2 linked regions of the Cricetulus griseus genome follow. The protein of the gene in region 1 binds, or shares a complex with, the protein of each later gene. Links are inferred from orthologs where the notes say so. Each region holds a gene or a part of one and is shown in the gene's direction. Other genes may lie near its edges.

What was found.
Region 2: Rbm10 (region 1) and Mysm1 share a complex: the UniProt entries of both Homo sapiens proteins name them as parts of the large chromatin remodeling complex. The link is inferred for Cricetulus griseus from reciprocal best matches to the Homo sapiens genes RBM10 and MYSM1.

Annotation. Positions count from the first base shown.
Region 1 is NC_048604.1:125,449,140-125,453,618, forward strand, and holds part of Rbm10 (RNA-binding protein 10), read left to right. Parts: intron 1-972; coding exon 973-1,156; intron 1,157-1,256; coding exon 1,257-1,396; intron 1,397-1,515; coding exon 1,516-1,633; intron 1,634-1,720; coding exon 1,721-1,812; intron 1,813-1,912; coding exon 1,913-2,077; intron 2,078-3,754; coding exon 3,755-3,904; intron 3,905-3,956; coding exon of another isoform or gene 3,957-3,998; coding exon 3,999-4,064; intron 4,065-4,141; coding exon 4,142-4,330; intron 4,331-4,416; coding exon 4,417-4,479. UniProt on the Homo sapiens protein: Binds to ssRNA containing the consensus sequence 5'-AGGUAA-3'. May be involved in post-transcriptional processing, most probably in mRNA splicing. Binds to RNA homopolymers, with a preference for poly(G) and poly(U) and little for poly(A).
Region 2 is NC_048595.1:53,897,973-53,903,651, forward strand, and holds part of Mysm1 (histone H2A deubiquitinase MYSM1), read left to right. Parts: intron 1-101; coding exon 102-172; exon of another isoform or gene 173-2,530; intron 2,531-2,639; coding exon 2,640-2,717; intron 2,718-2,809; coding exon 2,810-2,833; intron 2,834-4,476; coding exon 4,477-4,555; intron 4,556-5,679. UniProt on the Homo sapiens protein: Metalloprotease with deubiquitinase activity that plays important regulator roles in hematopoietic stem cell function, blood cell production and immune response.

The DNA of each region.
Region 1 (4,479 bases):
TGTATGAGTGTTTTGCCTGTACTTATGTATGTGCACCATGTGGATGTAGAATTTTGAATGGCTGTGAACAACTATGTGGGTGCTTGGAACTGAACCTGGGTCCTTTGCAAGAGCAACAACTTCTATTTGCTGAGCCTTCTTTCCATCCCTGTCTCCTGTACTGTTTCTTGACAGCACTCTGGATTGGTGTTGTATGTTGTTGGGTAGATAAATTGGTGAGTTGTGTAGTGTAGTGTAGTGTAGTGTGTGTGTGTGTGTGTGTGTGTGTGTGTGTGTGTGAGAGAGAGAGAGAGAGAGAGAGAGAGAGAGAGAGAGAGAGAGAGAGAGAGAGAGAGAGAGAGAGAGATATGCATTGCTTATGTAAGTATATATGCCATGAATAAAAAGGAACTTACAAGTATCTAAAAAATTTTGGGAGCCAAGTGTGGTGATAAACACCAGTAATCACAGCTCTTATGAGGTGGAGGCAAGAGGATTTGATGTTGAAGGCCAGTCTTTGACTATATAGTGAGTTTGAGGCCCTATCTCAAAACAAAAAAAGGAAAAGGAGGTGAAAATTTTGGTAGAGAATAAAGACTAGGAAGATGGGAAGGTGTGGTGTGTACCTATAATCCTAGCACTGAGTGGGACTGGGGGCAAAGGCAAGAGGATCGCTACACGTTCCAGGCCATCATGGGCTACATAGTTGTGGGAGGGAGGGAAGAGGAAAAATGAAGAGATTGAGGGTGTCTTGCTTGGTCTGAGGCCTAACACATACCTTATCAGGATCAGCCCAGGGTGGGGGGGCCATTTGAACATGTATCCGTTTTCTAGTCTCTTCTTCCTCCACTGTTGTTGTCAGGACCCCTTGCTCTTTACTACCTTAAGGCTGCATGCTTTTCTATCAAGTGGAAATGCTAGCTCCATGTGTAGGACAGATACTTCTAGCAGATGTCTTCCCTTATGCCCTGTCATCTCTCACCTGCCCCTCAGGCCTCCCAGGGTGGAGAGAGTGCCTGGGCTGCCCCTGAGGAGACTCCAGTTGACTACAGCTACTATCAACAGGATGAAGGCTATGGCAGCAGCCAGGGCACAGATTCCCTCTATGCCCATGGCTACCTTAAAAACAGCAAGGGCCCTGGCATGACTGGGACCAAAGGAGACCCAGCTGCTGCAGGTGAGCCTCATCCTCTCTTGCTGAGCTTAATTGTGGGGCCTAGAAGCCTACTGTCTTATGCGCTAACATTCATGGGTATTCTCCTTGGTTTTCCTTTCAGGTCCTGAGGCCTCCCTTGAGACTGGGGCAGACTCTGTGTCACTGCAGGCTTTCTCCCGAGCCCAGCCTGGTGCTGCCCCTGGGCTTTATCAGCAATCAGCAGAGGGAAGCAGTAGTCAGGGTACAACTTCCAACAGCCAAGTGAGGATAACATTGATTGACACTCTGGGGAGGCTGGTGGGCTGGCAGGGTGCATCTTGAGTGGGCAGGAGGGTATTAACAGACACTGAGTTGTGTTCCCTTTTGTGACCCATGAGCAGTCATATACCATCATGTCACCTGCTGTGCTCAAGTCTGAGCTTCAGAGTCCTACTCATCCCAGCTCTGCCTTACCACCAGCCACCAGTCCCACTGCCCCAGAGTCCTACAGCCAGTACCGTGAGTAGCCATACATAGCCTGTAGGTAAGGGTGTGGACTTCTCCAAGCAAGGAGGAATTTGACAACCTTGTCTTTCCTCCCCACAGCCGTTCCTGATGTCTCTACTTACCAATATGATGAGACATCTGGCTACTACTATGACCCCCAGACTGGTCTATACTATGACCCCAACTCCCAGGTAGGTGACGGGGTAGGCTAGGGAAAACTGGACTGTGGTTGTGTGGCAGCTAGCCCTAGAGGTCCTCCCTCATGTCACCTCTTCCCATTCTCTTCCTCAGTATTACTACAATGCTCAGAGCCAACAGTATCTTTACTGGGATGGAGAGCGGCGGACCTACATACCTGCCTTGGAGCAGTCTGCTGATGGACATAAGGAGACGGGGCCATCATCCAAGGAGGGAAAAGAGAAGAAAGAGAAGCATAAGACAAAGACGGCCCAACAGGTGAACCTCCAGCCATCATCTCCTGTTTGGAGTCTGTGTTCTGTCACCTCCTGCCCTCTTCAGCTTAAAGGAAAGTAGAGTAGTGGGTGGGAATGGACAGAGGTTGTAACTGCTTCAGAAAGTAAGGACTCTTGAGCCAGATCTATTTTGGGAGGTGGGGTACTGTAGCAGGACTACCTACCACCATAAAGTGACTTACACCATCTGAGTGAGCTCTGGCAGCTTTTCTCTGCCCCTCGAAGGTAACCTTCATGCTGCTGGTGGATGTCTGTTGATCCAATATAAATTCTCGTAGGCTTATATGAAGTTGATTAAGAAACATTGCAGGGTTTTCTATAGAGAGCAGTTAGAGAGAATCTCATTGCCTCTGTAGAGAAAGGGTATAACATTGAAGCACAGCACTTAGAAGCAAGCAGTAAGTATTCCCTCAGCAACCTGAGGAATTCATAGACTGGAAGAAACACAAAGCATTAAACTTGACACCATGTCACATGTCTTAGGTTCCTATTGCTATGATAAACACTGACTAAAACCAACATGGGCATGAAAGGGTTTTTCATCATGAACAGAAGTCGAGGAAGGAACCTGGTGGCAGAAACTGATGTAGAGACCATTGAGGAGTGCTTCTTACTGGCTTGCTGTCCGTAGCTTGTTCAGTCTGCTTTCTTACACAACTCAGGACCACCTGCCTAGGAGGTGGCACTGCCCACAGTGAGCTGGGTCCTACCACATTGGTCAGTAATTAAGAAAATACCCCAGAGACTTACCAATAGGCCAGTCTGTTGGAAGAGATTTCTTAATTGAGAGTTCCTCTTCCCAGATATGTCTAGGTTTGTATCAAGTTGACAAAAACCAACCAGAACATCACACATAAATTGAAATTATATACAACCCTAGGGGTGTGGCTCGGTGGAAGAGTGCTTGTCTAGTATGTTACAAGACCCAGTTACTTCCCCATTCCCATACACAAGTATGTAGTTCTCTGTATTTAGAAAGTAAAAATGAAAGAACAAATAATGATACAAGTGCCAAATCAGAAGTTGGGGTTGCAGCCAGGCAGTGGTGGCCTTAATCCCAGCACTCGGGAGGCAGAGGCAGGTGGATCTCCAAGGCCAGCCTGGTCTACAGAGTGAGTTTCAGGATGGCCAAGGCTACACAGAGAAATAAACCTGTGTCAAGAAAGAAATAGTTGGGGTTGTAACCAGAGAGGGGCTTGAAAAGGATCCCAGGCCAATACAGAAAATAGGATCTTGTACCAACACCTTTGCCCCACTGCCCTTCTGACCCTGCTTGCTCAGTTGTTATCTGCCCACACTATTTCTGCTGCTGCTTTTGCCTTTGCCTTTGGAAACTACATGGAGTAGGTGGGAGGCAGGGGAATGTTTGGAAACAGTCAGTAGAAGGAAGGGATCCTTGGCATGAGCTTGAGTTTATTTTAATAAGATGGTTTGGAGAAGGTGGAAGTATTTGGGCATGGTTTATGGTTTTTAAAGGAATGTTCTACAAGGATGAGACCCCAGAGCCAGGTATACACAGCCTTTTACAGTGGTTGAGTTAAGAAAGGTACCAGACTTGAGGCTACAGGGCGGGAAGGGCTACTATTGCAAGGGTCATGGGTGAGAGAATAAAGCCCCAAGTTCGAGGAATTCTGGGAACTTTAATCCCCCCCCCCCCCAGATTGCGAAGGACATGGAGCGGTGGGCCCGCAGTCTCAACAAGCAAAAAGAAAACTTCAAAAACAGCTTCCAGCCTATTAGTGCCCTACGAGATGATGAGAGGCGGGAATCGGCCACTGCAGATGCAGGCTATGCTATCCTTGAGAAGAAGGTGTGTTGTAACTGTCCATCTGTGCCCCACCTACAATCTCATTACTCCTTAGGGTCCTCTGGGGAGCCCTGAATTTCTGTGTCCTTTACCTCAGGGAGCGCTAGCTGAAAGACAGCACACCAGCATGGATCTCCCAAAGTTGGCCAATGATGATCGTCCAGTGAGTTGTCAGAGCAAAAAGGGCAGGGGTCTCTGATCTCAGCAAGGCTGCTGATTTCCCACCCTCACTGTCTACAGAGCCCACCTCGAGGGCTGGTGGCAGCCTACAGCGGGGAGAGTGACAGTGAGGAGGAGCAGGAGCGAGGGGGTCCTGAGCGGGAAGAAAAGCTCACAGACTGGCAGAAGCTAGCCTGCCTGCTCTGCCGCCGCCAGTTTCCCAGCAAGGAGGCACTCATCCGGCACCAGCAGCTCTCTGGGCTCCACAAGGTAATTGAGCAGAGAGTTGGCAGGATAGCCTGTGTCTAGCCCATTTCAGCCCAATTGCTTTACTCTTCTTCTGTCCCCCTCTACAGCAAAACCTTGAGATTCATCGGCGAGCCCACTTGTCAGAAAATGAATTAGAAGCACTAGAAAAG
Region 2 (5,679 bases), on another chromosome or scaffold:
GGTGTTACCATTTATATCATGTATTTCACTTAGTAAAATAAGATAGCTTTTAAAGTCATGAAATACATAGAGTTATACATTCCATTCTTTCTTTTAAATAGCCTTGGACTCTGGATAGCACCATCAGTGATGAGAACAGAGCTGTCATTGAGAAAATGCTGTTGGAAGAAGAGTATCCTTCATCGATTGTGAGAAGAGTAAAGGTTTCAGGGTTAAAAATAGACCAATGCAGCCAGGTGTTGGTGGTGCACGCCTTTAATCCCAGCACTTGGGAGGCAGAGGCAGGTAGATCACTGTGAGTTCGAGACTAGCCTAGTCTACAGAGTGAGTGCCAGGATAGGCTCCAAAGCTACACAGAGAAACCTTGTCTTGAAAAACCAAAAAAAAAAAAGAAAAAAAGAAAAGAAAAAAGATCAATGCAAACATTATGGAAGAGGCCACTGTAATTACTAGATGACGTTTGGTTACAGGTATTGATTGTATAATTTTATGTCAACTATCTATGCACAAAGTAGCATCTTTTACTGTTGTTACGTCAAATGAGAGGATATCAGTAATTTCAGAAAATTCAATAAATCAAAAATTTCTAATTTTCTGGCTTTTAATGATTACTAACAAATAGTGGCTTATTTTTAACTTTTCCATATGCATTTTATGGATCTCTGTTCACTGTTATTATTTATGTATGTGTTTTTGTTTGCATGTATGTCTGTGAACCTCTTATGTTCCTGGTGCCTGTGAAGACCGTAAGGTGGTTAGATCTTCGGGACCTAGAGTTACAGACCATTGAGAGCTGCCATGTGGTTACTGGAATCAAACTCGGGTCTTCTGGAATAGCCATTAGTGCTCTTTAATCACTGAACCAGCTCTCTCTGCCCATTATTTAATTCAGAATTTCTGCTATTTTATTCCCAACTGATTCTGTTAATTTAAGAATATTTTCTGTGTCTTGAGTTGACATTGGTTAACCCCTTACTCTGTAACTCCAAATATTGCCTAGATTGTTTTTTTTTAATGAAAGGCACATGTAATCTCCAATTTCCTTGTAGCCTCATTTAAAATAAAATAAATGAGTTTTTATGGTTTTTTTACACATTATTTAAAATATCAGCTTATATGAAATTTTTTTTTCTTTGTGTGTGTGTACCCACACACATGCTGGACATGTTTGTATGTGCATGTATGTCCAGAGCCCAGAGGTTGACTTCAGGTGTTTTCTTTATTCGCTCTCCAAGTTATTTTTTGAGCGAGGATTCTTATGAACCCTGAAGCTCACGGACTTGACTGGCGAGCTAATCCAAAGCTCTTGGGATCCACCTGTGTCTGCCTCCCAATGCTGGGATTATGTGTTCACAAAACTATGTGGATCCTAGTGTAGTGATAACATTATTTATGATTTATTAAAGCTTGACTGGGGATTCAGACAAGCAAAGTCAGCCACAAGCTATAGAAGCCAGGCATACACCTTTAATCCCAGCAGCCAGAAGCTAGGAGGTAGTGGTACACACCTTTGATCCTTAGACTCAGGATGAACAGATACACAGATCTATACAAGAGTGAATCAATCTAAAAGAGAATTATAGCTCACACCTTTAACCCCAATATTGGGGAAGTATATAAGACAGAAGGTATGTCTCAGAGATTCATTCATTCTCCAGCCACACTGAGGAGAGGCATCAGTTTGAGACCTGGTGAAGAGCTAGTCCGTGGATCAGCCCTTTCAGCCTGAGCCGGAGGTGAGAGCAGCAGCCGGCTGCTTTGCTTCTCTGGTCTTCAGGTTGAAGTTTGAACCCCAGTATCAGTCTCTGGGTCATTTTATTGATTTGTTTTTACGTCCTGGGATCCTCATTTAGATTCTTAGGATTATTGAACCATGTTCCCAGCCTCAAATGAAAACATCATTAATGTCTCATACTAAGTCTTTGGAATCTACAGTACATTTTATTTTAGCACTGCATCTCAGTTAATTCTAGTTGTGTTCTAAATGCTTGATCCACACATGTGATTAGTGGCCACCATACTGAACTGTGCAATTCTAGGTTATTGAAAACTCAGGTAGCCATTTATTCATTTCCAGATGTAGAAACAGGTAGCATTTAGACTCTAAATATATTTTAGAGGGTAAGCAGAACCTTTATTATGTTTATATATTGTCTGTAGTACATAGCCTAACATATGACATGTAGTTTATTTGTTAAATAAAAGACTAGTTCACACTTAAGGAATAGTTTCGTAGCTGGCTAGTTGCAGCAATGCCGAGAGGGTGTTTCTTGACAAATTTGATGTTATTTGTAATAGCGTGTAGAAGAATCCTGAACTCTTAAAAAATACGGAAACACTGGTTCCCAAATTACTATTTTAGAAAAGAAAAAGATTGAAGTTCTTTCTCTTAGCCATTTGTGGTAGAGAAGAGAAGGTAAACCAGCATTGCTGCGCTTCAGGAATTGTGTTGTGTGTTTCAGTGTGTGATCATTCCTACAGGCAACATGTAAAGACAGCATGGACTTACAGCCCTGGGCAAGCTTCAAGGGTAATAGGCTTTGATTACATTTGAATGTCTTTGACCAGTCTGCCTACTTGATACTACATAAGAATTATATGACTTTAATATTGTTTACGTTTCCTTAAAAATTACCTAGGTATTATTTGTCTAATAAATCACTTCCAGGAAAATTCTGGGTCAATCAAAAGGAAGATGATAAAAAATACACCAACAGGTAAAATCATTAAAAGTTGCATTAAAAGTTTTGAATTGCAGATTTAGTAACTTCTTCACAAGCTTCTTGTTTTCTTTTTTTTTCATGTGCAGCCTGCAGAAAACAGCAAAAATCATGTATGTACCTATTTTATATTTTTAAACCCTTTTTTTTTTTTAAAAAATAAAAATCCTTTTTACTTTTCATTGTGTGTGTTCACTTGTGTCTCTGTGTGGGTATGAGTGTGTGAGTGTGGGTGCCCAGGGAGACCAGAGGTGTCCGGTCCATTGGAGCTGGAGTTACAGGCAGTTGTTGCAGCCTGATAGAAGTGCTAGCAGTTGAGTACTGTGACTACTAAGCCATCTCTCCAGCCCCTTAAAACTTTTTTAGGTCAATTGAGAATTAGAAGAACATTCTTAACAGTTAGATTTAGTCAGTGAACAGCTCTCTTGATTCAAAAGACAAGAGATTTTTTTAAAGATGGTTTTGGCGCAGATATTAGAGTACATTTATGCCATCATGTATTTGCCAGAATTTTTTAAAAATGTCTTTCTTTTGGCAGTTTATCACATCATAAAGATATATTATGAATTGACTTGATTTTTGTTCCGTCTGATAATTTAAAATTTGTTACGTACAATTTCATTTGGATCTGTGACTTCTAAAAATTACCTAGGAAAATTGGACTGGGGATAGTGGTACATGCCTGTAATTCCAGTAGTTGGAAGGCCAAATCAGAATTTCCACAAGTTGAAGACCAACTTGCTCTACATAGTAAGTTCTAGGCCAATTAGGACTACATAGCAACACCCTGTCTCAAAAAATTCTAGAAAAATTAAATGTTTTACAAATAACCTCTTTTTAATTGGAAAACATGGTCATTATTCAGCATTTATAAACTTGTTTGAGCATTAAGCAGACTTTGGCTTTTATATTTTGCTACATAAGCAAAGTGAAGTTAGTGAGAAGATTGAATGCTTGATGAAATTGGAGAGTTTTCTTACTATGCTCTAATTTCTTGTGATACAGAATTTAAAAGCAATAAATGCGATGCCATAGTTTTATGATTTAAATTCTTAGGCTTTGAGAACATATTAATGGCTGCTTTTTGTTTTCAGTCTGTGGAGACCTATTTGTTACCAGAGAAATGTCTTTTAATGTTGTCTTTACTCAGACCCAAAGATTATATTTGTGTGCGTGCGTGCGTGTGTGTGTGTGTGTGTGTGTGTGTGTGTGCGCGTGCGTGCGTGCGTGCGTGCGTGTGTGTGTGTGTGTGTGTGTGTGTGTGTGTGTGTGTGTGTACATATATATACCTATGTATATGCATATACTATTGTTATATACATTTTTTACACTCATTCTGGTAAAGATAAGAAACGGGTAAACCTTACTGCCCAGGTACCAGTTGCAGTAGCTGTCCCCTTCCCCTCCTTTTTTAGTAGACTAGAAGTCATGGTTTTATTCAAGTGACTGTCTATAACAGTGGTTCTCAGCCTGTGCATCACAGCCCATTGCAGGTTCCAACAACTCTTTCACAGGGGTCACCTAAGACCATCAGAAAACACATACTTTTATGAATCACAACACTAGCAGAACTAGAGTTATGAAATAGCAATGAAGATGATTTTAGGATGGGGTATCACCACAACTTGAGGAACTCTATAAAGCATCACAGCATTAGGAAGGTTGAGAACCACTGGTGTCTAACCTCTGGCTGCTTAAATGGAACGTTCCATTTCATTTTTTTTTTTTTTTTGTAATTCCTCTTTTTTTCTTTCAGGGTACATTCTCCTACAAAACCAGCCAGTTATTCAGTAAAGTGGACGATAGAAGAAAAAGAACTGTTTGAACAAGGACTGGTAAGTAGGGAAAACTTTAACTAATGATAAAATTATTATAGAAGCAAAGTTTTTAAAAAGTTTGTATATTTGCAATAGGAGATAAACTTAATTCTTTCTTTTTCATTCAACTATTTAGCATTGTGCATGATCCACATTTTTCAGTATATATATATTTGAAGACCAGAGACATTTTTTGCGTAAATGTTTCACTGAAATCTCTTGAAAAATATAGACGTCATGAAGTATAAAAAATATGTGTGTGGGGAGGAGTGATGAGCAAAGGGGTCAAGACCATGCTGGGGAAAACCACAGAAACAGCTGACCTGAGCAAGGGGGAGCTCATAGACCCTAGTCTGACAGCTGGGGAACCAGCATAGGACCAAACCAGGCCCCCTGAATGTGGGTGTCAGTTGGGGGACCTGAGCAGTCTATGGGGCCTCTGGCATTGGAACCGATATTTATCCCTAGTGCACGAGTGGGCTTTGGGAGCTCATTCCCTTTGGAGGGATACTCTCTCAGCCTAGATACATAGGGAAGGGCCTAGGTCCTGCCCCAAATGATGTGACAGACTTTGATGATTCCCCATAGGAGGCCTCACTCCCTGAGGCGTGGATAGGGAGTGGGATGGAGGGTTGGTGGGAGGAATGGAGGACGGGAGGGAGAGGGAACTGGGATTGGTATGTAAAATAAGATTGTTTCTAATATAAATAAAAATTAGTAAAGTGTATATGTGAATCAGATACTGAAAATACTTCACAACATGGAGAAATGTTTCATAAAATAACCATTAATTTAAACTTTTGAGAGTAGGTTGGTTATTTTCCTTTAGGTTATATGTAACTCAGACTTATATCAAATTTGATTTTGAGATTTTATAGGCATTATATAGGTAATATATAATTATGGGATGTTTGAATAAAATTCAATTAATAACATTCAAATTATGAGAAGTAAAATATGTTTGTATTCTTGTCAGTACAGCTATGTATTATGGTGTTTCAATACAAATACATAAATATCTGGAGCGTTTTTTTCTATTTTTTCTGTACTGATGATAGTTATATTGGCTATTTATCTGTTGTATGACAATCTAATAATGATAATTTATTTACGAGGGATAACTTCTATGTTTGCCCCTTATC